Linked DNA regions of Mus musculus. The protein of the gene in region 7 interacts with the protein of the main gene of each other region in a biochemical or structural test. Links are inferred from orthologs where the notes say so. Each region holds a gene or a part of one and is shown on either strand. Other genes may lie near its edges.

Region 1 (4,224 bases), on a different chromosome or scaffold from region 7:
ACCATAGGAGCAGAGGGGAAAAAAAATTGATCAGGGGAGGCGCTGCAGTGATCCATCTTCCCCAGCAGGGCTGGGTGCGGAATCAGGACAGCCCCGGTTGCCCACCTGGCCATCGGCCTGGAATGTCCTGGGACACAGCCAGAACTCAGGTGGGGATTGCAGAGCCAGGGGCCCTCTCCAGTTACAGCACGGTGCCCCACCCCTTGCCACTCACAGGGCCTTCTAGCCAGGGTACACTGGCAACGATGGGCTTCCTAGAGAACAGGCATGCAGCGGGAAGAGGCCTCAGACTCTTCAGTCTGACAGGTCTTCTGAAGGATCCCTGGGGAGGACTAGAGCAGCCCTTCATCTGTCAGATGGGCGTGAGGCAGAAAGAGGAGAGTCCTGTGGGACCCTGCAAGAGGTGCCAGAACTGGAGGAGTTGCACTGGGACATTCAGTAAATACCATGCAAATGAGGGTGACACGGTGTACATTCTTTCAAATGACAGCTAGCTACAGCATTCCAAAGGCTGCTGTCTAGAGCTTGGGCTGGGAACCCCCAGGCTGTTGACCCTTGTTGTAGGAAGGTTGTTCCATCCTTTCCAAGGGCCCCATACACCTCCTTCCCTTGACTCCTGGGACAGGAAGTTGGCCCTATTCCCAGGAGGGAAGCAGGAGGCCCTAGAGAGGGTGGAGTATGTGTTGGGAGGGGGCCTCCTGTCCAGTCCTCGGGTCCAGTGACAGCCACAGAGGAAGGAGAGACAGGCCAGAAGAGCCATGAAGGTAGCGCTCAGATTCTGGTGGGCGGGTGGGGTCCCCAGTAGAACCTCAGGTGCAGGATCTGGGAGCTAAGCCAGGAACTGTGGGTTGTATCTGGAGAGGAGCAGCTGGGGTGTTCAGGAGGAACCTCCAGTGCTTTGGGTTACAGCAAGATGGACCATTCCTGTAAGCCCTTAGCCCTTCCCGCTGGAACTTGGCGTTGAGGAGGGTACTATAAGATCCTTCTCCCGTCTGACAGGGAAGTTAGCCCTCATCCCTAACTTTCTTTCACCCTGAGGATGTGGAGTGCTGGGCTGTCAGGGGTACTGGTTCCCAGCAACACTCCCTTCCCACAGGAAATCCCAAGGGAGCATGAGGGTTCAGGCTAGAGACTGGCCGGGGACACAGTGTTCTCCACTGGCCCTTGAGCCCTGCCCTGAGACCTGAATTCCCACCCTGTGCCACTGGCTGATTCCAGGGCTGGATCTCAGGACTGCAGACCCCCTGCACACAGTGGCCCACTGGGTGGGAGGCAGCTCCAGAGATGGGGAGAGCCAGAGATCTTAGGCTGACACTCCCAGCAGGGTAGATCCTGGGAATCTGATCTCCTGGCCTCCCCCACATCCTCCCCCACCCCACTTCCTGGAGCAGCGACCTGCCCCCTTCCCGCCTGCACTTCCCTCCACTTCCAGGGCCAGGCTTCTCCACACACCAGCCAGACAGCCTCCCCTCCACCCAAGGGAAGCGGCTGCCTCGGCAGGCTGCTTCCAGGAAGCCCCAGGCCAGGCCCCAGCATTGTTCAGGCCCTGCAGCCAAGAGTCCAGCCAGCCAGACACCATGAAGTCCAGCGGCCCTGTGGAAAGGTTGCTCAGAGCCCTGGGGAGGAGGGACAGCAGCCGGGCCACCAGCAGGGTAGGAGTGCCCACCAGCTGGGCAAAGGTGGGGCAGGGTGGAGGTGCGGACAAGGCGGGAGGGCCAGGATTCAGGCCAGACCAGACCCTCTTCCTAGTTTCAGCCTCTTCTCCTGGCTGGCTCAGCATCCCCCTCCTCTTTCTTTCGCCTGACCCCCTGAGGTGGCTAGGGTAGGGTAGCAGTGTGATTCTAGCATCTGTTTTGACTTCTCTGTGTATTTCCTGGCTTGAGCCTGGATAGGCCCCGAGGGTTCAGCTAAGAGCTCAAGCCCTGACCTCCGGGGGAAGCTTGAGGGAAAAGGTATGGGAAGAAGGCAATGAGGGAAGGGAGGGTGCCTTCTACTGACGTCATCTGCACACGACGTCATCATCCACAAGTGCGTCCAAGTGTCCTGGTGGGTCTCGCCCCCAGTCGTTAAGGGACCAACGCTGCTCCCATGTTATTCTCCTCTTCACACTACGGTGGGCAGATCCAGGGAGAGGAGGGGACAGCGGGAGCTTGAACACACAGCGGTGAAGAATGTGCAGTGGAGTGGTGGGAGGAGTGAGGGAGATTGTCCACAGACTCTAGATAGGAGGGATGAACTGGGGTGGGAGGGGTCAGAACTGCAGTGAAAACTTGCAGTGAGTAGGGACTAAGGGGGACCTGGACAACTGGTGGCAGCCCAGCCAGCCACTGACCTCACTACCTCTGGGTGGGGAGGGGGCATCCGGAGAACCTGGCCACCCCTGTCATAACATGCAGAGGCAGCGAGGCAGCTGCCTGTGTGTCCCCACTGCTATTCCTCCTTCCGAGCGAACGTCTTAGACAATTGCTGCCTGCCGCCTCAGTGCACAGAGAGTAAACATGTTGTTCTGACCGTGGGGGAGGGGGTCATATTAGCTGCCTGGAGCTTGGGGACACTGAGAGCCAGGGGCTCAGAACTGGCTGCAGTCAGTCTGGGTATTATGTGATAGTGCTTGTGTGTCCTGGCCGTCAGCTCACAGTATACAAGCCTCTTGTGGGGAGGGCAAGATGGGAGGAGAGTCAGACCCCCCACTCTGCCAAGATTCAGAAAGCCCTCACATTGGAAGTGGGGGTGTGTGTGACAAGGACATCACATAGCTCCGCCACGTGAGAAGTCCTGAGTGAACCCTTAGGGAGGAGTTGACCCAGCCAAGGTGACGCAAGGGGTCACATTCCAAGCCCTGTAGAGGACAGGCCTCATGACTACCCTGAAACAGCTGTGGCCAAGTGTGCCTTAGAGTTCACAGACTTTTGGCTGGAAGAGAGGGAAGCAGCATCGCTCTAAGGAAAGGTCCCTGCCCAGCCTTGGAGATGAGCCCACTAGGAACACATACCCCTATTTGTCTGTCATCCCACCCGCAGCCGAGGAAAGCAGAACCACACAGCTTCCGGGAGAAGGTTTTCCGGAAGAAAACTCCAGTGTGTGCAGTGTGTAAGGTGACCATCGATGGGACCGGTGTCTCCTGCCGAGGTGAGGTGGTGCTCTTGGTGCCTGAGCCCTCCAGGCAGCACTTCTGTGTGGCTCAGGCTCTAGAGACAGGCAAATTCAGAAACAAATGCCCTCACTCTTCTTGACACCCACCTTGCCACAGCCCAGGAGATTTGTGACTCTACCACCTTCCCATCCTTACCTGTGACTAGGGTCTTCCCTTCCTCTTGCTCCTCCTCCTCTTCTTCTTCCTCCTCCTCTTTTTCTTCTTCCTCCTCTTCTTTTTCCTCCTTTTTCCTTTTCCTCCTCCTTTTCCTCTTCTTCCTCTTCCTCTTCCTTCTCTTTTTCCTCTTCTTCCTCCTCTTTTTCCTCTTCTTCCTCCTCCTCTTTTTCCTCTTCTGCCTCCTCCTCTTTTTCCTCTTCCTCCCCTTTCTCTTCCTCCTCATCTTCCTGTTCCTCTTCTTCTTCCTCATCCTTTTCTTCTTCCTCCTCTTCTTCCTCCTACTGTTCTTCCTCCTCTTCCTCTTTCCCCTCCTCACCTCTATTCATCCTAGACCCCAACCCCCGGCCCTCTTCCCTTACTCCAGAGCAGAACCTGTTGATAACCAGCTCTGTTCTTCAACTCCTAGTAACCTAGTGTACCAGGGTCCCAGAGCTGGCTTCTAAGGCCTGTGGGGCTGGAGCACAGTTATTTTGACTATTCCCGTAAGCCTCTGCTAACCTCTACCCTTTCTCTCTCTAGTCTGCAAGGTGGCCACACACAGAAAATGTGAAGCAAAGGTGAGTATGTGGTTCTATCTAATGGGGAGATGGTGTCTTTCCCTGTCCAGACAGGCATCTTCAGCCTCACTGGCATGGGCCACCATGTCACCCTGTCCCCTGTCACTCACTCCTGGACACCCCTTCCTGGGTGGCAGGGGTGTTGTGTTGGGCTCTTTAAGAAACACCCTACTCCACCCCTGGAGGGTTGGCCCAGGAGGGTGGACAGTGAGACAGCGTTTGTCTTGGTGCTGTGCCCAGGCTGCAGCTGGCGAGAGGATGAGGGGGGGTGGCTGCGGGGGGAGGAAGGGCGGGGTGGATAGAGAGGGAGCAAGATTTCAGAGACCAGGCACCCTGATGGGAGGTGCCTTCCCTCTG
Region 2 (3,500 bases), on a different chromosome or scaffold from region 7:
TGTAGGCCACTTATGCTGAACTGATTTCTGTAAACACCCATAGATATATCTCAGTGTCCTGCCAAAATAACATAAATGTCTCAATACAGAAAGTAAGCATCATCATAATCTAGTTGCAACTAAAATTTTAATTTACCCAAACTGTATACCATATTTTAATGCATTTGGGTTTCTCATCTAAAAAAGGTTTTGTCAAAAGTAATGAGAAAAACATTCAGTGATGGATATAGAAACATAATCCAGTATGCTTAGCTCAATGCATTGTAAATTCTGTGTTAATGAAAAGTATGAAACAAGTTATTAGAAATGAGAATAGATTTAAACTTCTTTTTTTGTTTGCAGGAAATCTAATGCGAGGCAAGAAATAACCACTAAATTTCCAGATACTGTCCCCAGATTTGAGACATTTCAATCACTCCCTAAGCTAAAATATAAGCCAGACTTACTTGGTCCACAAAAACATACAATCTAATTTGTAAATACATGTTTTTAGGCTGGCCTATGCTCTTCTTGACCCAACCTCTCCAATACTGGGATTACAGACATGTGCCACAATGCCTGTGATTTTATCTAGCTTCTTTAACAGTTATTTTACTCATTCTTTTACTCTCTTTCCCTTAAATATAATCCATCTTTTAAGGACTAAAAGTCTGAGTATAATGCCAAGATAATAAAAATCATTCATTAAAAGACAAAACAAAAATTTGGCAACTTACGGTGGAAGTATTTCTGAAGCCATGAATATTTTCTCCACAAGCTCTGAAAGTATGCTCAATAGGTGTGCTAAATTAGTGTTCACATCTTCATTTTTTTCTAACTTTGACGGACTTAACTAAGAGAAATACAAATTTATTTTTTGTGATGATTGAATTTCAAGTAAATTGTGATAAGTGAGTAGTCGTTTTCAAAGCTGTTACCTGTTCCACATATACAAATGCAGTAAGTTTGCTAAAATTAGTTTCTCAACTAATATTTAACTACTCAGTTCTGTTTATATAAGAAGAAAAGCTGTTTTTAATGAGGTACAACTTAGTGGCTAAGGAAAATAATCAAAATATATTAAGTAAAATCATGACCCTTCAAGTACACCCCTCCTCCCCACCATCCAAGTGTTCTGGTCTGCTAGATTTATCTACAAATATGAAAGCTATGTCAGCTTTCATAGTAAGGGTAATTGTGGGATTACCCTCAACTTAAGTCACTCATTTTGTTGTGGCACAATTAACATTTTACAGCTCCAAGTGTTGAAAAGTATTTCGTTATTTTATTGACACTATATCAAGCCTAAAAATGTATACTGTCTTTCTTTGAAATTGCTCTGTAGCATTCATGAAGTAGAACAGTCATGTACGAGTGATTCTACTCAATGGTATGGGCTGCCTATAAACTCACAGTGCAACCTTAATCATCTTTAAAAGATTATTTCATCTTCTTTTAATCCCCATCTTCTATAAAATAACCCAGAAATCCCTCTAGAGAGAAGATGTTACAACATATTACTCAAGGTAAGCCCTCTTGAAGTTTGACTTTGGTTGCTGACATGGCATTATCCATGTGGGAAATTCCATATCCAACTTCACATGATGTGCAAACCATAACACAAGCCTCCAAGAATTCATGTAAAATTAACTTCAGTCATAGACTTAGGTTCCATTCCCAGGATACTTTATTGTATATATGAAATCATCCAAATGTTTTAAAATACTTCTTTTTTTCCAATAACAGATACTCAACACGTACAAAAGTCTCTAGAAAAGTGTTCAATTAACGTTATACACATTCTCTCAAGGCAAAGTATGTTTGGTCATTAATATAATAAAAGAAATGCTCAAAGAGCTTTGTATGTGCTCAAGGAGAGGTGGATTATAAATATACTAGAGAACACGATTGTACTGATACATCTCAGAAATGATGTACTTTCCTAAAGATGTCATTTTTTAAAGTTCTCATTAAAATATGCTATTTGCTGCAAAGAATAAAACTATAAATTCTTACCTCACATGATTGCTTGCTTTCCATAATCTTTAAAATGGAGTCTTTCAAAGCATGATGAACAAACTGTGTGGCAGTAGCTTTCATATACTGCTCCATCAAGGTACTTGCAAGTGTTGTAGCTCGAAATAGGGTAGTGGCTTCATCTACACAAAAATGGATGTTTCATTGTATTTACAGAACTGTACTAATATAACTACTCTGAAAATTAAATTAATTTTCTTTAGTAATGTGCTTTTTACATACATATGTTGGGGTTAACATGCATTAAATCACCTGATCTCAGAGTGAATTAAATCATGACTATCATAAGTGAGAAGAAAAAAACACCATCATGTTCATATGAAAAGATTCAAAATAGTTCTCCAGTGTGTTGAACACCAGTTTGTGATAAACACAAACTTTCTACTGATTTCATAACCAAAAATAAATTACTTCATCTCTGTGGTATTTTGAGTAAGAATGGTCCTCATAGGCTCAAATATTTGAATGCTTATTTACCAGGAGTGACACTATTTGAAGATTAGAAGGGTTAGGAAGTTTGCCCTTATGGAGGAAGTGTTGTCACTAGAGATCGGCTTGAGGTTTCAAAGCCCATCTACTAAGCCTAGAGTCTCTCTCTGTGCCTACAGATCAGGATATAGCTCTTGGCTACTGCTACAGTGTTTGCCTACATGCTACCAAGCTTAATACTGCCATAATGATAAAATATTAAATCTCTGAAACTGCAAGCAAGGCCCCAATTAAATGCTTTCTTATACAAATGTCACCAGATATAAAAAAAAATATGTACCATTTTATCTACTCCTTGACAAATTAATTTTTGTAATTTTTATGGTTAAAGAAGGCAAGGATTGTCACCAAATCAAAGTGCTGGGAGAAAATAGATTAGGAATCTGTGAAAAACATAGTAATATGTTACAGTGGCCTTGGAACTGATATAGAATGTAGAAATAAAATACACTAGTATTTTATGACTTCTACTCATGAGTTACTAAGTACAAACTCAGGTAATATGATAAATATTACACCACTGTTGATCACACATATATTACCTTCCATACTTATCTCTCTGTCATTTAGTGTGCATAACAACAATGATTCAAGCTTTTCATGAAGAAATATCTTTAGTAGGATGCTGGCCAGTAGTGTTCGGTCTTGTCCACATACATGTGATAAAGCATAGACGACATGAAGTTCCTTTTGCAGTATAAGCTAAAAGTGACATAAGTAAAGACTGCTGAAAGTACACAACAAGACCAATTGAAAAAACATATCTACTGAATACAATTGTTAAAAATTGACTTTATATTCCTAGTCTCATTAAGATCAAAATCACAGTATGTGTTTTTTACATCTGGCTTCTTCTCTGCCATTAATATAGGGTGTTACTATTTAACTTAATGGAGTTTTATTAAATAGTAAATATTTCTGTTTAGTATCATTAAAAACGATTAAACTAGTAAACAATACCTCTTTAAATTCACTGTACTCTTCTTCTGGCATGA
Region 3 (2,583 bases), on a different chromosome or scaffold from region 7:
TCTCCTTCCGCCGGCCACCCACCCCAGTCCGGGATGCTCAGGCCGTGCGACATTACAGGATCTGGAAGAACAACGAGGGCCGGCTGCACCTGAATGAGGCGGTATCCTTCTCCAATCTGTCTGAGCTTGTGGACTACCATAAGACCCAGAGCCTGTCTCATGGCCTACAGCTGTCCATGCCCTGCTGGAAGGTAGGCCACTGGCTCCTCTGTGACATAGTTGCCCAGGGTCCTACTGGTAGGGTATAATATGGGGGGGAGGGGATGGGGGCACAGGACAGGGCAATCTCCTTGGCTATTGCTCTTATTACACTGGCTCACCAGAGCTCAGATGTGCTCCTGCTGAGGACCAGTCCCTAACATTGATGGATGAAGACAGCAGCAATTTTATGAGGATATCCAGATACTGGATCTATCTCTAAATTTAAAAAAATAGATAATAAATAATAAATAATAAATAGAGCTCCTCATGAGGGGTTGGAGCAAGCCCTTCCTGAAGACAAGCTGGGCGACCCAGCCCCCATTCCTACCCATTCCTATTGCCCTTTCTGTCTCTCCAGCACAAAACTGAGCCCTTGCCCCACTGGGATGACTGGGAGAGGCCGAGGGAGGAGTTCACACTCTGTAAGAAGCTGGGGGCCGGCTACTTTGGGGAGGTCTTTGAAGCGCTCTGGAAAGGCCAGGTCCATGTGGCTGTGAAGGTGATCTCTAGAGGTGAGCAGGCCCAGGACTAACTCAACATGATCACGTGCTGCTTCCCCACTAGTCCTTCTAGTAGGCACTTCCAGTCTTCCCCCACTGAGGGTATCCCAACACACTTGCTGGGCACCCACAGCATCATGGTGGGAGTAACTTCTTTCAATTGTACCTGGTTTTGTTTTGTTTTGTTTTTTGTTTTTGTTTTTAAACAAGTCACTGGAAATGTGAGTTTCATCTCAAATCCCAACGTCACCCTCAGGTTTATACCTGAAACCTCAAGAATCAGGTCAGCCAGGACTTTGAAAACATCTGGCTGGGAAATGCTGACTTTGGCAATTGTGACCAAGTTGGGCACAGGAGGGCAAATGGACACATCAGTCTTGGGGCACTGAGGGCTCGGGGTGGGGAAGGCTTTAGTGTGGTAGCTTGGAGGCCAGCCTTTGTCTTCCTAGGCTGACCACATTGCCTGACTTGCTTCAGGAGGTCTGGGCCAGGATCCTGTTTGGGGCACAGGTCGAGGGCTATACTCACTGAGGTTGATGTCTCTCAGACAATCTCCTGCACCAGCACACCTTCCAGGCTGAGATTCAGGCCATGAAGAAGCTGCGGCACAAGCACATCCTGTCACTGTACGCTGTGGCGACTGCAGGGGACCCGGTCTACATCATCACGGAGCTCATGCCCAAGGGGAACCTGCTGCAGCTACTGCGTGGTACGTGCAAAGCTCCAGTCTCCTTTCCCGGGTGAAAGTGCTGGAGGCAGCATTTGGAGGCACAGACAGCCTGCTCTCTGAGCTTGAGGCCAGCCTGGTCTACAGAGCAAGCTCCAAGACAGCCAGGGCTACACAGAGAAACCCTGTCTCAAACCTTTCTCCTTTCCCTCCCCAAACCCCCCAAAACCAAAGATATAAAACAATCAAGGAAAGACATGCACATGTACACATGTATACATGTGCACACACCCTTAATAATGAGTACATGCATTACATCACACATGCTACATTGCCTCATACATACAAATCGTTAAAAAAAAAAAAAAAAAACCAATGGTGGGAGAGATGGCTCAGTGGGTGAAGTGCTTGCTAGGCAGGCACGAGGACCTGAGTCTGAGTCCCCAGAACTAGTTAGTGTAAAGGCAAGCACAGGAGTGGGCTTCTGTTACCTGAGTCTGAATCCTCAGAACTAGTTAGTGTAAAGGCAAGCACAGGAGCGGGCTTCTGTTACCCCTAGGCTTCTACGGTGAGATGGGAGGCAATGGGAGAATTCTTGTTTTATCTGGCTCAGTAGCAAACCACAAAACCATCCTGGAACACGTCACTGGTGAAGACTAACACCCGATGTTGTCCTCTGACTTCCACATACATACACACACACATCATACATACATACATAACAAAAGAGACAAGTAAATGGTCTTATTAAGTACAAAAAAAATCTACCAATTGCTGATCATAAAATTTGAAAAAGTACAGAAAAGAACTCTCCCTCACAATTTCTATCCTCACAGTTAGCTGAGGTTACTTTACTATAGGCTTGTGTAGCCTGCTAGTGACTTGCCTTAGCCCACCAGCTTCTCTCTAAATTCTAAATTCTCTCTCTTTCTTTGTGTTTCTCATAAAGAGCTTGATCTCATAAGCAGTTTCTGCAGGAAGAAGTCTCCAGAGATGAAACTCATGCCCCTTGTAGGTGTAGTACTTGCTGGCTGCGCATTATCTAGAGTGTTCAATGGCTACATACCAAGAATATCTTGCAGCAATGCTCTTGACCTTAGATTGCTTTATGATTCCCAGAAAGGGTGTCAGACAAAGAATATGCTCTTTGTCTCTAGGTACATAGCTGCAGAAGGTCTAGGCCTTCCCATTTTGCAATTAAGCCAAGCCAGCTGC
Region 4 (3,500 bases), on a different chromosome or scaffold from region 7:
TAGAAATCAGGCCCGGCACAGCCCAAACTCGGGGGACAGGGCGTGTGTGGGGGCGGGGCCCCGGCACAGCCCAAACTCGGGGGACAGGGCATGTGCGGGGTGGCACCGCACACAACTCGCATGCCCCAGGTCACCTGTTCTGCTGCAGGTACTTGTTGAGCGGCCCCAGCTCCGCCATCTCCATCACCAGCATCCAGGACTCCGCCTCGCAGATTCCGATCATGCGCACAATGTAGGGGTTGTCCAGCTGCTGCATGACGTTCGCCTCTGCCAGCAGCTCGTCCTTCAAAGCCGGGTCGTTGGCCTCGTTCTTCAGGATTTTCACAGCCACGGTTTTCACAACTCTGTGACACAGATTGTAACTTGTGAGAAACTTTCCAAACTGCCTAGAGGTCCTCTTCTCTGTAGTCACATTGTGTGTGTGTTGGGGGGAGGGGGGTGGAGGGGAATGGTGCTGACACCCGCTGCCCAATGAGAATCTCTTAAAGCCATTCAGAAAAACAAAACAAAGCAACCCAAAAACAAACAAACAAACAAACGAAAAAAAAAAAACAAACAAGAAACGGCCATGGGCTGGGGAGATAACCCAGTGTAAAAAGCGCATGCAAGAGTGAGGTTAAGAGTTCAGATCCCCAGAACCCACAGAAAGTTGGATAGCAGATGTCTGCAACCCCAGGGCTTCTAGGGGAGAATCTATGGAGATTCGTGGGGCCAGCAGTGAATCCCCAGAGGCGGTTTGAAACAAGGTGAAAGGTAAGAGGTGACATCCAAGGGTTGTCCCTTGGCCTCTATATATGTGCTGTGTCAGGAGTACCTGCACACACACACACACACACACACACACACACACACACACACATCAAGATAAATAGCTAGTACCATTTTTCTCCTTCTTGTGAAAATTTTATCACAGGTGCAAATTTTCCTTCTTTCTTTCTTTCTTTCTTTCTTTCTTTCTTTCTTTCTTTTGGGGTTTATTTGTTTGTTTGTTTGTTTGTTTGTTTTTGTTTTTTCGAGACAGGGTTTCTCTGTGTAGCCCTGGCTGTCCTGGAACTCACTCTGCAGACCAGGCTGGCTTCCAACTCAGAAATCCGCCTGCCTCTGCCTCCCAAGTGCTGAGATTAAAGGCGTGTGCCACAACTGCCCGGCAGGTGTAAATTTTCAAATCACACATAGCTGATGTTTATTCTTTCATTTAAACCACAGTTTGTTAGAATACTTTCAAGAGTTCAACACGATCTATGTGATATTTTTGTGAGAAATTGAAAAAGATCTGTATTTTCGAAACATGTTGAGGCTTGCTTAAAAGTAACAAAGCCCAGTGGGAGAGAAGTGTTTCTTTCCCTTTAACTCTGAGCTTGAACAACTCGTGTGCTTCAGACCGGCCATGGGGGTGCTCACCTGTGAGCCCCAGAGCCCCAGAGGTGGATACAGGAGGATCGTTGGTTTAAGATCATCTTTAACGTCCTCTGAATATAACACCTGCTCTTTCCATCTGATCAGCTATGCCTTTTGCAAGAGAGAAGAAAGACCAGCTTCAAATGCTGGTGCTCCTCCATATAAGGAAGGGGTGGAGATGCTCACTGGACTGTTACCCTGATTCCTGGAACTCCCCCCGGCGCTTCCCAGTCATCTGTGTGAGATCCTGTCCTAACTGAACATAGACGCACGGTCTTGGGAGGTGCTAGAGCATACGACTGTGAAAGCTAACAGGAGCCCGAGAGGGGGCATCTAGGGGACCCTACATCCTGTAGAGGCCACCATCCACACTGAGGCCCAGACTTCTCAGCGGCACACGCAGCTCCTGTGAGTAACCCCCACATGCGTGCCCAGTCACTGGTTCCCCAAATTGGACTTCGGGGATTGTTCTCTGGTTTGTGGTTGGTGCTCTGTATGATGGTAATGATTCCATACAGTACACAAGAGATTCTTTCTACAGCTGTTCTTTTACAGACAGAGGAACCATGCCCCACTGCCTGTGAACCCCGGTGTAGTGGACAGCAATGGAGAATGGTCCAGGCTGAGGAAAGCCCCGAATTGTGAAATATTCAACCAGCTTCAACAAAGTTCCCCTGTTGTGACACACATACAGCCTGCTGCAGTGTCATGTGGTTTCCCAGCTAGGTTCTGCCTACATGCATAAAGGAATACAAAGTTTCTTTATGATATTGCAAATGAGCCTCTGGGCCCAGAATTTAAAAAATAAAAATACATTGCTTTGCTTTTTTTTTTTCTTTGAGTCCGGGTCTTACATAATCCACTGTGGCTTGAAACTAGCTGTATAGTAGGAGATGACCTTAAACTTCTGATCCCCCTGTCTCTACCTCTGGGGCTCTGGGGGGCCACAGGTGTGTACACAACATGCCCAATCAGAAGCACACATTCTGTTCAAGCTCAGAGTTAAAGAGAAAGAAACACTTCTCTCCCACTGGGCTTGGTTACTTTTAAGCAAGCCTCAATGTGTTTCGAAAATATGGATTTTTTTTTATTCCCTCACAAAAACATCACATGGATCATGCTGAACTCTTGAAAGTATTCTAGCAAAATGTGGCTTAAAAGAAAGAACAAACATTAACTAGGTATGCTTTGAAAAATTACCTGTGGTAAAATTTCCACAAGCATGAGAAGTTGTTTCTTTTGTTGAACCTTCAAACCGATGAATCAAAACAGAACTATTCAGGAAATGGGCCGTGTGGGGGCTCAGGTGGTAAAGATACTCTCTGCCAAGCTTGGTGGCTGGAGCTTGATCCCCAAACCACATGCATGTACGTACACACACACACACACACACACACACACACACACCTAACAAATACACTAGGTCAAATAACAGAATTAGTGGGACACACACACACAGGAAAGTACACACAGCTAGTGTGGTGATCTAGAACACAGCCTGTGGCCTGACAGGAGGATTTAGATATTATCATCACCCTAGAAGCCTCTCTGGGCCCTCCCGGGAACATGGGAGGCTCCATTCTGTCATCTCTAGCCACCTATTTTGGCTTTCATAGTTGGGTCTATCATTACATCTGTGGTGTGAGGCAGGGATCTAAATTAAGAAGTTAGAAAAGGTTTCTTGATTCCTCTAGACATTTAAAAAAGAAAATACCACGTCTTCTAGAAAAGCAGAGGGGAAAGATAATATCCCACTAATTCTAAGAGGCTACTATTGTTCCAATTCCTGACTGTTTACGGTGGCCCAGGAAGAGACTATGAAACTCCTGGTCTTCCAAGCACTGAGCTCTTTTACAGGTAAGAGAGTAAGACTCCATTATGAGAATTGTAAGAAAGCAATTGACTGATAACTTCACGTGGTGGTTTAATGAGAAAAACCTCGGTAGGCTCATATATCCGAAGGCTGGGCCCCTAGTTTGGTAGAACTGTTTTGAGAATGTTTAGCAGGTGTGTCCTTGTTGGAAGAGATCTGTAACTGGGGGTGAGCTTTGAGGTTTCTTGCTCTCTGCCTCCAACTTGCAAATAAGATATACACTCAGCTA
Region 5 (3,046 bases), on a different chromosome or scaffold from region 7:
GGGTTATCCGATGGTATCCGTCTGTCAGGTGGAAGTGAGAGTCATGCTCCTGCGGCAGACTGGTAGTGAGTGATACCCTGTGCTTTCTTGCTTGTAGGTGCCAAATTCCCCATCAAGTGGACCGCCCCTGAAGCTGCTCTGTACGGCAGGTTCACCATCAAGTCGGATGTGTGGTCCTTTGGGATTCTGCTGACCGAGCTCACCACTAAGGGAAGAGTGCCCTATCCTGGTGAGGAGGCTATACCTGTGTCCCTGACCTTGGCCCTGGGGGCAAGTCTCACCCTCCCCCAACCAACACGCCGCCCCTGGGCTTCCTCTTTCCAAGCTGATCTCTGATCACAGGCTGCCTTTTGTCAGGACTCAGCCTCAGAAGCGGGGTTCTGTACACCATAGGGTCAAGGCTGTCTAGGCTGTGTCAGTCTCTCTGGAGCCATCTCTTCATTGCCCTCTCTGTTCATAGGGATGGTGAACCGTGAGGTTCTGGACCAGGTGGAGCGGGGCTACCGGATGCCTTGTCCCCCCGAGTGCCCCGAGTCCCTGCATGACCTTATGTGCCAGTGCTGGCGGAAGGAGCCCGAGGAGCGGCCCACCTTCGAGTACCTGCAGGCCTTCCTGGAAGACTACTTTACGTCCACTGAGCCACAGTACCAGCCCGGGGAGAACCTATAGGGACTGTGTGCGCAGAACTGTCACCTCTAGGCTTCCGGGTGTTGCCTCCGATGCACCTGCCTCCCTTCATCCTCTCTCTGGGGCTGCGTTGCCTCGGCAATGCCCCTTTTGGAGCATGGAAGGGCTTCAGGGATGGGGCAGCCTGGAAGGACAGGTGGAGGCTGGTACAGTGACTGTCCCATGCCTGCCATGGCCACAGGCTCTCTCTGTGCATTCTCTCTGGAGTTAGCCTGCTTCTCACAGGACACTTGTGACAGCAGAGCTGGGGGTGGTTTTCCAGCCTCGACCCACTGCGCTCACCTGGCACTGCCCCACTTTCTTCACCCTGGGTCTGTTTCAAGCCGGCCAGAGAGCCTTTCCAAAGAGGAATGAGGCCCAGGCCTTGGCTATACGTACTTCCTGCCCCTGGCCATCCTTGTTGGAGGCTTCTGGGTGGAACACTGGGTCTAGAACCTTCTTCCGTGGCTCTCAGGCAGCCCAAGGCCCAACACCAGTTGGGATAAGTGTCAGAGTGAGCACCCCCTCAGCCCGTCCTCCACAAGGGACCCTTGAGATCACTGACACATCACCCCCATTTCTCTGCTGGAAAAAACCAGAATCCAGGAGGGGTTGTGACCTGCCCAAGACCAAGGGCAGTTTAGGGTTGAGGTGGGCTTGGCACCTGGTGCTCCTTCTGTTCCTCAGGAACTAACGAGAACTGTCCTCCAAGGCAGGGGGCAGGGTGGGGCCTGAGAGTGGCTTCAAGTCGGCAGGGTTCTGCTGCCCCTGATGCTCATGGGTCTGTCCCGGGGAAAGAGGCAAGCAGGAGGCTGAGCCAGGAGCGAGGGGTAGAAAGTGGTGGTGTGGAACAGGCTTCTGTTTGTCACAGTGTGGGTGGGCTGGGGTGGAGGGAGCTCTCAGGCTGCAGAGACAGTCAAGTAGAAGAGGAAGAGCTAAGGGGTGTGGAGTCCTGCTCCTCCATTTGTCCTGATCATTTCAACACCTGGCCCTTGCTCTCCTGCCCGTGCCAGGACTCCCTAACTCAGGGAGGGAGGGGAGGTCCTTAGCTGGGGGAAAGGAGGCGAGGGTCCTTACTGCTGTGTACCAACACTGACCCCGCCCTCTCTGAGCTGTACTCTCTGCCCGTGACTATGGCCTCTGTCATTGCTCCGTTCCAACCACCCCCCCCCCCCCCCCCCGTATTGATAGATCCACAGCTGGGCGTCCAAGGGGGTCCTGGAACAGCAGACATCTGACTGTCTGGTCCCTGGCTCCTCTGACCAGCCCTTAGGCTATGTGGTGGCTTCTCTCTGCCTCAGTGTCCGGGTCTGTAAGGTGGGCAGTTGATGATTTGTGGCATCTCAACCAAGGGCCCCTGTGTGTGTGTGTTTGTGTGTGTGTACACATATCTGTGCCTGTGTGTCTTCCCTTGTGTCCATATTTAATGTGTAAGAACATCCCTACTCTATCCCAGACACGACCATTTCACCCATTGCCCCATCACAGCAATAATGTCCCCGCTACTGGGGACCCGAGCCAGCCAGGCCATGTTTGCAGGGAAGGATGCCAAGCAGGGCCTGCCCTGACAGTTCCACTTTACTCCCATATTCTCCCCGTGCTCCTGGCGAGCCTGAGCTTGCCACCCGGTTCTCCCTGCCCGACTCCAGCTGCCCAAGGACCTTTGTGTAAGGTGGCCTCAACTGTCTGGTTTTCTTTTTTTCTTTCTTTTTAACAGTGTTTTGTAGATTTCAGATGACTATGCAGAGGCCTTGGGGACCCCTCCCCAGCTCTGGGCAGGGCCTGGGGATCCCACATTCCATGCCCAGGCTTGGGGGAGGGGGACCCAGACTTGTTGTACATATTTTGCATACTGTCTGATTAAACACAAACAGACCTCAGTTTGGTCAGCAGTTTATTGGACATCGACTGTGTGTGGGAATAAGAAGAGTCGTGGATGTGAGGGAAGCCGGCAGTCAGGGTCCTTGACCCCTGCAGCTAGTGGCTTCTGGGCCTGGAACTGATCAGATGGGGCAGATGCGGCATGTCCGCACTTACTTGAGGATCTGGAGGAGGCACCGAGTCCAGGGCAAGGATGTTTGTGAGATTCAGGACCCTGGCAGGATGGAGCAGAACTGCCTAGCATGCATGGAATGTGTTCCTGGGTAATCTCCAAGGCTGTGGTGTGTGTATGTGTGTGTGTGTGTGTGTGTGTGTGTGTGTGTGTGTGTGCGTGTGTAGGCGGGGTGGGGTGGTCCAGGTGAGCTGTGTGTGCTTTGTGGAGAGTTCCTATCTACCCCCATGCAGTGTTCTCTCTAACTTTCCCTTCCCACTCTCAGTCTCTCCTCCAGAGTTCTCACACATCTCCAGCTTCATATTCAGGGACGGGGCTTGTTCGACT
Region 6 (3,978 bases), on a different chromosome or scaffold from region 7:
AGGATTGAATTCAGGTCCTCTTGCTTGCAAGATAAAGCATTTTACAGACTGGGCTATTGCTCCTCTACTCTGATGACCTAATCCCAGTCCTGTCCCAGAAGCCCCTCCCCTAAATGACACAGACTAAGCTTTCACCTTTTGAAAGAAAGGTGGCCAGGATTAGACTTCAACATAAGCATCCAGTGAACACGTGATAGTCACAGCATAGCGCAGACTTTGAACATGGCATCTAGAATTATCTATCCTCGTTCTCACTGGTGCCAGTTTGTTTCGAGTTGACAGCCCAGAGCTTGGGCTTTGGGGGATCATGCCTAAAATAAGCGACAGCCAGGCTCCCTAGGGCGAACAAAGGGCTCTCCTGGGACAGGCACGTGAGCAGAGTTCCCCTGCAGGGGCTGTGGAATTCCATCTGACGCATTTGGGCTCTTTAATTTATTTTCTTTTTTCCTGTACACCAAAATATTCGTATCACTTTCCAGCTAACAGCAGCTCTAGCTGTACTATATGATATTCTTGGTATATTAACGTCTAACACCAACGAGTCTAATTGTTGTATGTAAATTTACACCGCCATTCATATTTTCTCAGTCGGCTCCCTCCGTTGGCCTCATAATAGAATCCAAAGTCTCCTTGTTGGCTAAAGGGTTAAATGATGTAGCTTTGGGATCCCCTCCGCTGCTCTGGAGACTTAGCTTGCATAGGTCTTCTTTATTCCTTTATTAGGAAAGACTTCATGGGGAAGAGGCTAGCCTTTGACTGGGTCTTCTGTGTGCATTCATAATAAAAGCTGGTACATTCATGGCTGCTCTGTGAGGTAGAAGAACCAGTGAATGAAAGTTTGGGTACAGCTCACCTCCCAGAGAGTGGTCCTGCTTCACCCGGAACTGACCCGATAGTCTCCAACACCCTTATAAAACTAATTTTCCCCATCTCTCTATACCGGCTTGTTTCTTCCTCCCAGAATTTTTGTAATCAATCTGGGTGGTGTTATTTTTTTTTTTTTCTTTCTCTTTTTTTTTCCCACACTGCTGTTGGATAAAAGATCCCGCCCTTGATTGAAATGGAATCTTCCACTATTGAGCGAGCCTTTGTTGAATGAGTCATCGGCTCAGCCTCTCATTGGCTGAAGCCGCCTGAGCCCAGGGGATTGCCTGGCACCGGCTGCAAGGACCCGCTCCATTCACAGAAACGCTGGCTCGCTCGCCGGCCCTTTCATTCACACAAACAGCATCTCATTCACATTCGGTCTGTTTTTTTTTTTTTTCCTTTTTCTTTTTTTCTTTTTGTCTGCTTCTAATGAAGAAGACCACGGTTTGGGAATGGTGGGGCTGACTTGCTTCAGATTGGAGGGGGACTCCAATCACCATCGAAATCGTCCGTGGGGTGCGCATCTGCTGTTGCTATGCGAGCTAGAGGAAGGGAGAAAAGAGAGTGCGGGGTGGCTGTTCAGCTAGGGCTGCCGCGCGGTTGGAGAGCGGTGGGGACGTGTTTGCTGCGCCAGGGCGGGCCTGGCGGCTCTGCGCTTTTTCGTCCTCTGGAACCGGCCTCACTTGCACGGCCGCCACGGGTGGCTCTCCCTAAACTCCCTTCCTGGGGCTCCCAGAAAGCCTGGGAACCGCACTGCCTCCCGAGATCAGCCCTGGGCGTGAGAAGACTCAGGGTGACCTGCTAGTGTGCTAGAAGGCAAATGCATTCGCTTGCACAGAAGTTACCAGGAAACTTTGACAGCGATTGACTTCTCGGTGGTGCAGGTTATCTGTCTTAACACATGAGGCCACCTGGTAGAGGCCACCGAGGAAGGGCTCAGTGGGTCTCAGAATCTTGGTCAGACCCTCGGGGAGGCTGTCGATGTCCTATTCTCCCAAGCGTCAGGAAGAAGGCCTGTGCGTGTCACTGCAAGCCTGGGCCCGACTCGCAAGGAAGAGGCCATTCTTGCTGTGGATTTGATGGACAGTTAGAGCAGCCGCATTTTTTTTCCTGCCTGACTGCAGGGCTGCAAGCAGCAACTGAAGGGACATTGAAACGGATTGGTAATGCTACTAAGGCATGCTTCCAGGGCTGAAACACATTCACTTGGAATAAAACTCAAAACGCGGCCCTCTTTCTCTCTCTCTCTCTTTTTTTGGCATGGATTTCTGGAGCCTGTTGCCGCTCAGCAGAGATGCAGGTTTTTTTTTGAAGTAGATTTTTCAACTGAACCCTAGCTGAGTACGGCTGCTGACTGCTGTAAATTATTAGGGAAGACCCCCTCTGAGCTGTACTGAGAAGAAATTTCTGTGCTGATTTTTTTTTTTTTTCGTGAATTGGTACAGGAATTGCACCGCCACAGATACATGGCTGCTCTGCTGATCTGAACAAGAAAAGCAAACCACAGGAAACTGACAGGTTTTTTTCTTTCTTTCTTAAATATTCATCTGCTGGTGAAGGGTCCCCCCTCTTTTTTTTTTTCCTACTTAAAATTCTTGCTACTTTCCAAAATCAGGATTCATCAGGATTCGCCTTGAAGACTTCTTTAAAAGCCTTCGTCACATTTGAACGCATCCCTGTCAGACACTTCTGGGCTTCATCCACATGAGCTGAGCAAGGGAAGAGCAAGCCATTGCACGGAATAATGGGTTGCGGAAAGTTCAAGAGATCATTTGACGGGACTGGATTTACCTTTGGCACAGATGCGGGATGGGGAGGGGGTAGGTGAAAAGGCAAAGACTGGAAGGAAATATCTGCGAAGGTAGAAAAAGGAAATTTGAGAACTGATTGGCTGTAGTTGCTGTCAGCGGGTGGATGTCGTTTTCTTCTCTCTCTTTTTGCTACAGGAAGTGATTTGCGGAGCTCACCGAGCCTTTGTTGAGAAGGGTCTCCTCAGAGTGAGTCACGCTTTTGCTGGGAGCAGCCCCGTGCAGCTGGCCGCTCGCTCCATCAGCCGCAACTATGACTTTTGCAAGGCAAGCGTTCCACCCCAACCCTCGGTCTCCAGGGCCCGCGCTGCGTGGCTGCTGCTCTGCTGCCTTGTAACGGTGAAAAGGGCTCGGTCGTCGGCCTCGGCTGTCCCTCTCCGGAAAGGCTGTCCTGGGACTCGGGCTCCTCGTCCCGCTCGGGGGACCGCGGCTCGTGTGCTATGCGCGGCAGTCCGCGCCAGGGCCGGCAGCAGCAGCGCCCGGGTGGATGCGGCGAGCCCACGGAGGGGCATGCTTCCACGCACCAAGTACAACCGCTTCAGGAATGACTCGGTGACATCGGTCGATGACCTTCTCCACAGCCTGTCGGTGAGCGGCAGCGGCGGCAAGGTCTCGGCGGAGCCCGCGGCGAGCCCCTACCTGGTGTCGGGCGAGGCGCTGCGCAAGGCGCCGGACGATGGGCCCGGCAGCCTGGGCCACCTGCTCCACAAGGTGTCCCACTTGAAACTCTCCAGCTCCGGCCTGCGTGGCCTGTCGTCGGCCGCCCGGGAGCGGGCAGGAGCGCGGCTCTCGGGCAGCTGCAGCGCGCCCAGCCTGGCGGCCCCGGACGGCGGCAGCGCGACCCCCGGGTCCCGCGCCCCGGCCGCCAGCATGAGTGCCACCAGGAAGAGCCGGGCCGGCGACGAGCCACTGCCCAGGCCCCCTCGGGGCGCGCCGCACACCAGCGATCAGGTGCTGGGGCCGGGAGTCACCTATGTGGTCAAGGTGGGTAACCCGAGCACACTGCTGGGTGGGGGTCTCGGAGACAGGGTGCGGTGGGGAGGAGGAAGTCAGGGCTGGGGACAGATGTCATTCTCTGAAGCCCCAGGGTTCAGGGACAAGCCCCAGGGAACACAGACGACAGTTGGATGTGAGGAAATAAGCCCTCCTTAGCCATTCTCTTGCTCGACAGGGCAAGGAGAGAATTAGAAATGCTCTGTGTGGGGGGGAAAGGGTGAACTGTCTGGTCACCTCGCATGGAGCCTGCTTTCCCCAAGGCACCGTTGTTGAAGCATGCTTTGGTCACCTGGCTTCATCAGATGTC
Region 7 (2,807 bases):
GAGGAAGATGAAGATGAGGAGTATGAATACATGAACCGGAAGAGGAGGGGTAGCCCGGCTCGGCCCCCCAGACCTGGTTCCCTGGAAGAGCTGGGCTATGAGTACATGGATGTGGGTTCAGACCTCAGTGCTTCTCTGGGCAGTACGCAGAGTTGCCCACTCCATCCCATGGCCATCGTGCCCTCTGCTGGCACGACTCCAGATGAGGACTATGAATACATGAACCGCAGGCGTGGTGCGGGCGGTTCCGGAGGGGATTATGCAGCTATGGGGGCCTGCCCAGCAGCTGAACAAGGGTATGAGGAAATGCGAGCTTTCCAGGGGCCTGGACATCAAGCCCCCCATGTTCGTTATGCCCGCCTCAAAACTCTGCGTAGTTTAGAAGCCACTGACTCCGCCTTTGACAACCCCGATTACTGGCATAGCAGGCTTTTCCCTAAGGCTAACGCCCAGAGAATTTGACCTCGGTTCCTTGAGACTCTTGGGGAACATTTGATGGCAGCTAGTGCCTCTTTGAGGGTAACCCTTCCTCACCCCTTTCTCTGAGGTCCCACCTCCATTTCTCCAAGAATGCCATCTAGTTCTTGGAGATTTGTCAACATATCGTCACAAACTTTTTGCGGTACATAGCCGGCTGTGCACTCTCTTCTCTTCCCAAGCCTAGGAAAGAGAAGTTTCCCTGTGTCTCTCCCTTCCTGATCCCGTTCCTCAGGGAGACTCCCTGGAGATATGAAGGATTACTCTCCAGACCCTTTCTCTCAGGCTCTTACTCATTGGGATTAGACTCTTAAACTTTGCCTTTCTTCCCCAATCAGACTCTAAAGAAGGGGAGATGAAAGAGAAGAGAAAAAGTAAGACTTTTGTTTATGAGACTTTTAATCCCAGAGGAAGATTGAGAAGCTCAAAGCTTTGAGGAGTGAAGTTAGGAGTAGGTACCAGTGACTACGAACTGAACATGCACTGTGAGCCAGGCATCCTCATACTGAACCCCACCTACATTGTCTCAGTTATAATCTTTCCAGTTTTGTGAGGTAGAACTGATCCTGTTTCACCAATATGGAATCTGAGTGTTCCAAGATAGCCAACAGGTCCCGGAATCTTTGAATAGTACTGAATCCTGTAGGGTTTTTTTTTTCTTTTAATATTTTTAATATTTTTTTAATATTCAGTAAACAAAACTGAATTCTGTGATTAGTGACTTTTCCATCTTAACTAAGAACTTATTGTTCTTTTTAGTTTGAGGTGACACAGCAGAGGTTGTACTGATTTTTCTATTTTTCTAATTTAATGGATTTGTTATTATAGACATTACAACCCCCCCCCCCGTGAAGTCAAGAATTTCCACCTTTTCTCAAACAAAAAACCATTTCTTTGACACATTTGAATTAATAGCAGGACTTGCCCTTTGGGCCCATTCTTAGGTAAGATGAGGGTCTTTGAGCACAAGTACTATGAGATCTGTCAGTCAATCTAATAACCAGGCAGGTAATTAAGTGGCTCAAGAGCAAATAGGTTATTCAGTGCGGGTGTACCAGGCAGAGATGATTCATCTACCAAGTGGAACAGGAGAGGCCGGCTGTGATTTCATCGTGCTATTCAGAATGGGTACTATGTAAACTGTAAGGATTATTTATTTCAGGAACTTGTCACTCAGCATGTTTCAGATGACAGTTGACCACAGGTTACTAAAACTGTGGACAGCAAAACCTCAGAAAATGGGGAATTGAGCCTTGAAGAAGCAAAGCCACAGGTCCAGGATTCAAAATCCTCCCAATTCCCATGCCTGTGATTTAACTATAAAGTGTATGTGTGTGTGTGTAAAGCCGGGCCTGGCGACTGGCCTGCAACTGTGTAGCCCAGGATGGCCTTCAACTCCACACACAGCAATCCCATCTTCACCTCTCAAAGGCTGTGGCTACATGTGTGAGCTTCCAGACTCCGTTTGTTGGTGCACTGAATCAAGCAAATGCAGCCAGCCACGTTTTCCTCCAGCACCCAGGCCTCTCATCTCAGGAAGGAGTGGAGATGACACAGGACAAGTAACTAGACATTTTTGTGTAAGCTGCAGGCCATTTACGTTGCAGATACACACTCATTACAAGCCAATTCGCAAAGGTTCCAAGACTCCTATTTTGGGAGCTGTTCTCAACCAGTAGTGATAAACTTCTGGTGGGATAGAAAGAGGATCCATCTTCAAACCTCAAGTCTTCCTGGATGGGAACTGGGGGGAATGTCTTCTTGTACCATTAAAGTTTTTTTGTTTTGTTTTTATACGTGTCTAAATAAAAATGTCAGAGTTTTTTTGTTTGTTTTTGTGGATTCCTGTCAAGTGGAAAGTACACATGACCATCCCTTTTCTTTGCTTCTTAACAATGGGTGGCTTTCTCTGCTTCTGACATTCTGTCACAAGTAATGTAACCAATCTTGATTTGTTCTAAGATTTTAATTATGGGTATGTGAGAGAGTGGGAGTTTGGGAATGGTGTTATGTGCACGTGAGTGCAATGCCCACAGAGGCCAACTACACAGTGCTAAGAGTTACAGGTGACTGTAATGTTCTGGGAACTCCCTTCCCTCTGCAAGGATACCAGGTTATACCAACCAGGTTATTTCTCCAGACCCTGTTTGCATTCTAGTCTTTTTCTTTTGTTTGTTTTTTCGAGACAGGGTTTCTCTGTGTAGCCCTGGCTGTCCTGGAACTCACTCTGTAGACCGGGCTGGCCTCGAACTCAGAAATCCGACTACTTCTGCCTCTCAAATGCTGGGATTAAAGGCGTGCACCACCAGTGCCCGGCTTTGCATTTCTAG

The links.
Region 1: the proteins of Erbb3 (region 7) and Tns2 form a complex in vitro, tested with the Homo sapiens proteins (2 studies listed by BioGRID and IntAct, with this or other methods). The link is inferred for Mus musculus from reciprocal best matches to the Homo sapiens genes ERBB3 and TNS2.
Region 2: the proteins of Erbb3 (region 7) and Rasa1 form a complex in vitro, tested with the Homo sapiens proteins (2 studies listed by BioGRID and IntAct, with this or other methods). The link is inferred for Mus musculus from reciprocal best matches to the Homo sapiens genes ERBB3 and RASA1.
Region 3: the proteins of Erbb3 (region 7) and Ptk6 form a complex in vitro, tested with the Homo sapiens proteins (2 studies listed by BioGRID and IntAct, with this or other methods). The link is inferred for Mus musculus from reciprocal best matches to the Homo sapiens genes ERBB3 and PTK6.
Region 4: the proteins of Erbb3 (region 7) and Syk form a complex in vitro, tested with the Homo sapiens proteins (2 studies listed by BioGRID and IntAct, with this or other methods). The link is inferred for Mus musculus from reciprocal best matches to the Homo sapiens genes ERBB3 and SYK.
Region 5: the proteins of Erbb3 (region 7) and Src form a complex in vitro, tested with the Homo sapiens proteins (2 studies listed by BioGRID and IntAct, with this or other methods). The link is inferred for Mus musculus from reciprocal best matches to the Homo sapiens genes ERBB3 and SRC.
Region 6: the proteins of Erbb3 (region 7) and Shc3 form a complex in vitro, tested with the Homo sapiens proteins (2 studies listed by BioGRID and IntAct, with this or other methods). The link is inferred for Mus musculus from reciprocal best matches to the Homo sapiens genes ERBB3 and SHC3.

The regions. Positions count from the first base shown.
Region 1 is NC_000081.6:102,101,510-102,105,733, forward strand, and holds the start of Tns2 (tensin-2), read left to right. Parts: upstream 1-1,424; 5' UTR 1,425-1,577; coding exon 1,578-1,652; intron 1,653-3,020; coding exon 3,021-3,129; intron 3,130-3,829; coding exon 3,830-3,867; intron 3,868-4,224. UniProt on the Homo sapiens protein: Tyrosine-protein phosphatase which regulates cell motility, proliferation and muscle-response to insulin. Phosphatase activity is mediated by binding to phosphatidylinositol-3,4,5-triphosphate (PtdIns(3,4,5)P3) via the SH2 domain.
Region 2 is NC_000079.6:85,223,487-85,226,986, forward strand, and holds part of Rasa1 (ras GTPase-activating protein 1), read right to left. Parts: coding exon 3,466-3,500; intron 3,208-3,465; coding exon 3,048-3,207; intron 2,139-3,047; coding exon 1,996-2,138; intron 833-1,995; coding exon 717-832; intron 59-716; coding exon 1-58. UniProt on the Homo sapiens protein: Inhibitory regulator of the Ras-cyclic AMP pathway. Stimulates the GTPase of normal but not oncogenic Ras p21; this stimulation may be further increased in the presence of NCK1.
Region 3 is NC_000068.7:181,197,207-181,199,789, reverse strand, and holds part of Ptk6 (protein-tyrosine kinase 6), read left to right. Parts: intron 1-27; coding exon 28-191; intron 192-559; coding exon 560-713; intron 714-1,248; coding exon 1,249-1,410; intron 1,411-2,583. UniProt on the Homo sapiens protein: Non-receptor tyrosine-protein kinase implicated in the regulation of a variety of signaling pathways that control the differentiation and maintenance of normal epithelia, as well as tumor growth.
Region 4 is NC_000079.6:52,634,882-52,638,381, reverse strand, and holds part of Syk (tyrosine-protein kinase SYK), read right to left. Parts: intron 345-3,500; coding exon 135-344; intron 1-134. UniProt on the Homo sapiens protein: Non-receptor tyrosine kinase which mediates signal transduction downstream of a variety of transmembrane receptors including classical immunoreceptors like the B-cell receptor (BCR).
Region 5 is NC_000068.7:157,469,293-157,472,338, forward strand, and holds the end of Src (neuronal proto-oncogene tyrosine-protein kinase Src), read left to right. Parts: intron 1-97; coding exon 98-229; intron 230-460; coding exon 461-669; 3' UTR 670-2,546; downstream 2,547-3,046. UniProt on the Homo sapiens protein: Non-receptor protein tyrosine kinase which is activated following engagement of many different classes of cellular receptors including immune response receptors, integrins and other adhesion receptors, receptor protein tyrosine kinases, G protein-coupled receptors as well as cytokine receptors.
Region 6 is NC_000079.6:51,566,652-51,570,629, reverse strand, and holds the start of Shc3 (SHC-transforming protein 3), read left to right. Parts: upstream 1-1,178; 5' UTR 1,179-3,185; coding exon 3,186-3,659; intron 3,660-3,978. UniProt on the Homo sapiens protein: Signaling adapter that couples activated growth factor receptors to signaling pathway in neurons. Involved in the signal transduction pathways of neurotrophin-activated Trk receptors in cortical neurons.
Region 7 is NC_000076.6:128,567,023-128,569,829, reverse strand, and holds the end of Erbb3 (receptor tyrosine-protein kinase erbB-3 precursor), read left to right. Parts: coding exon 1-462; 3' UTR 463-2,307; downstream 2,308-2,807. UniProt on the Homo sapiens protein: Tyrosine-protein kinase that plays an essential role as cell surface receptor for neuregulins.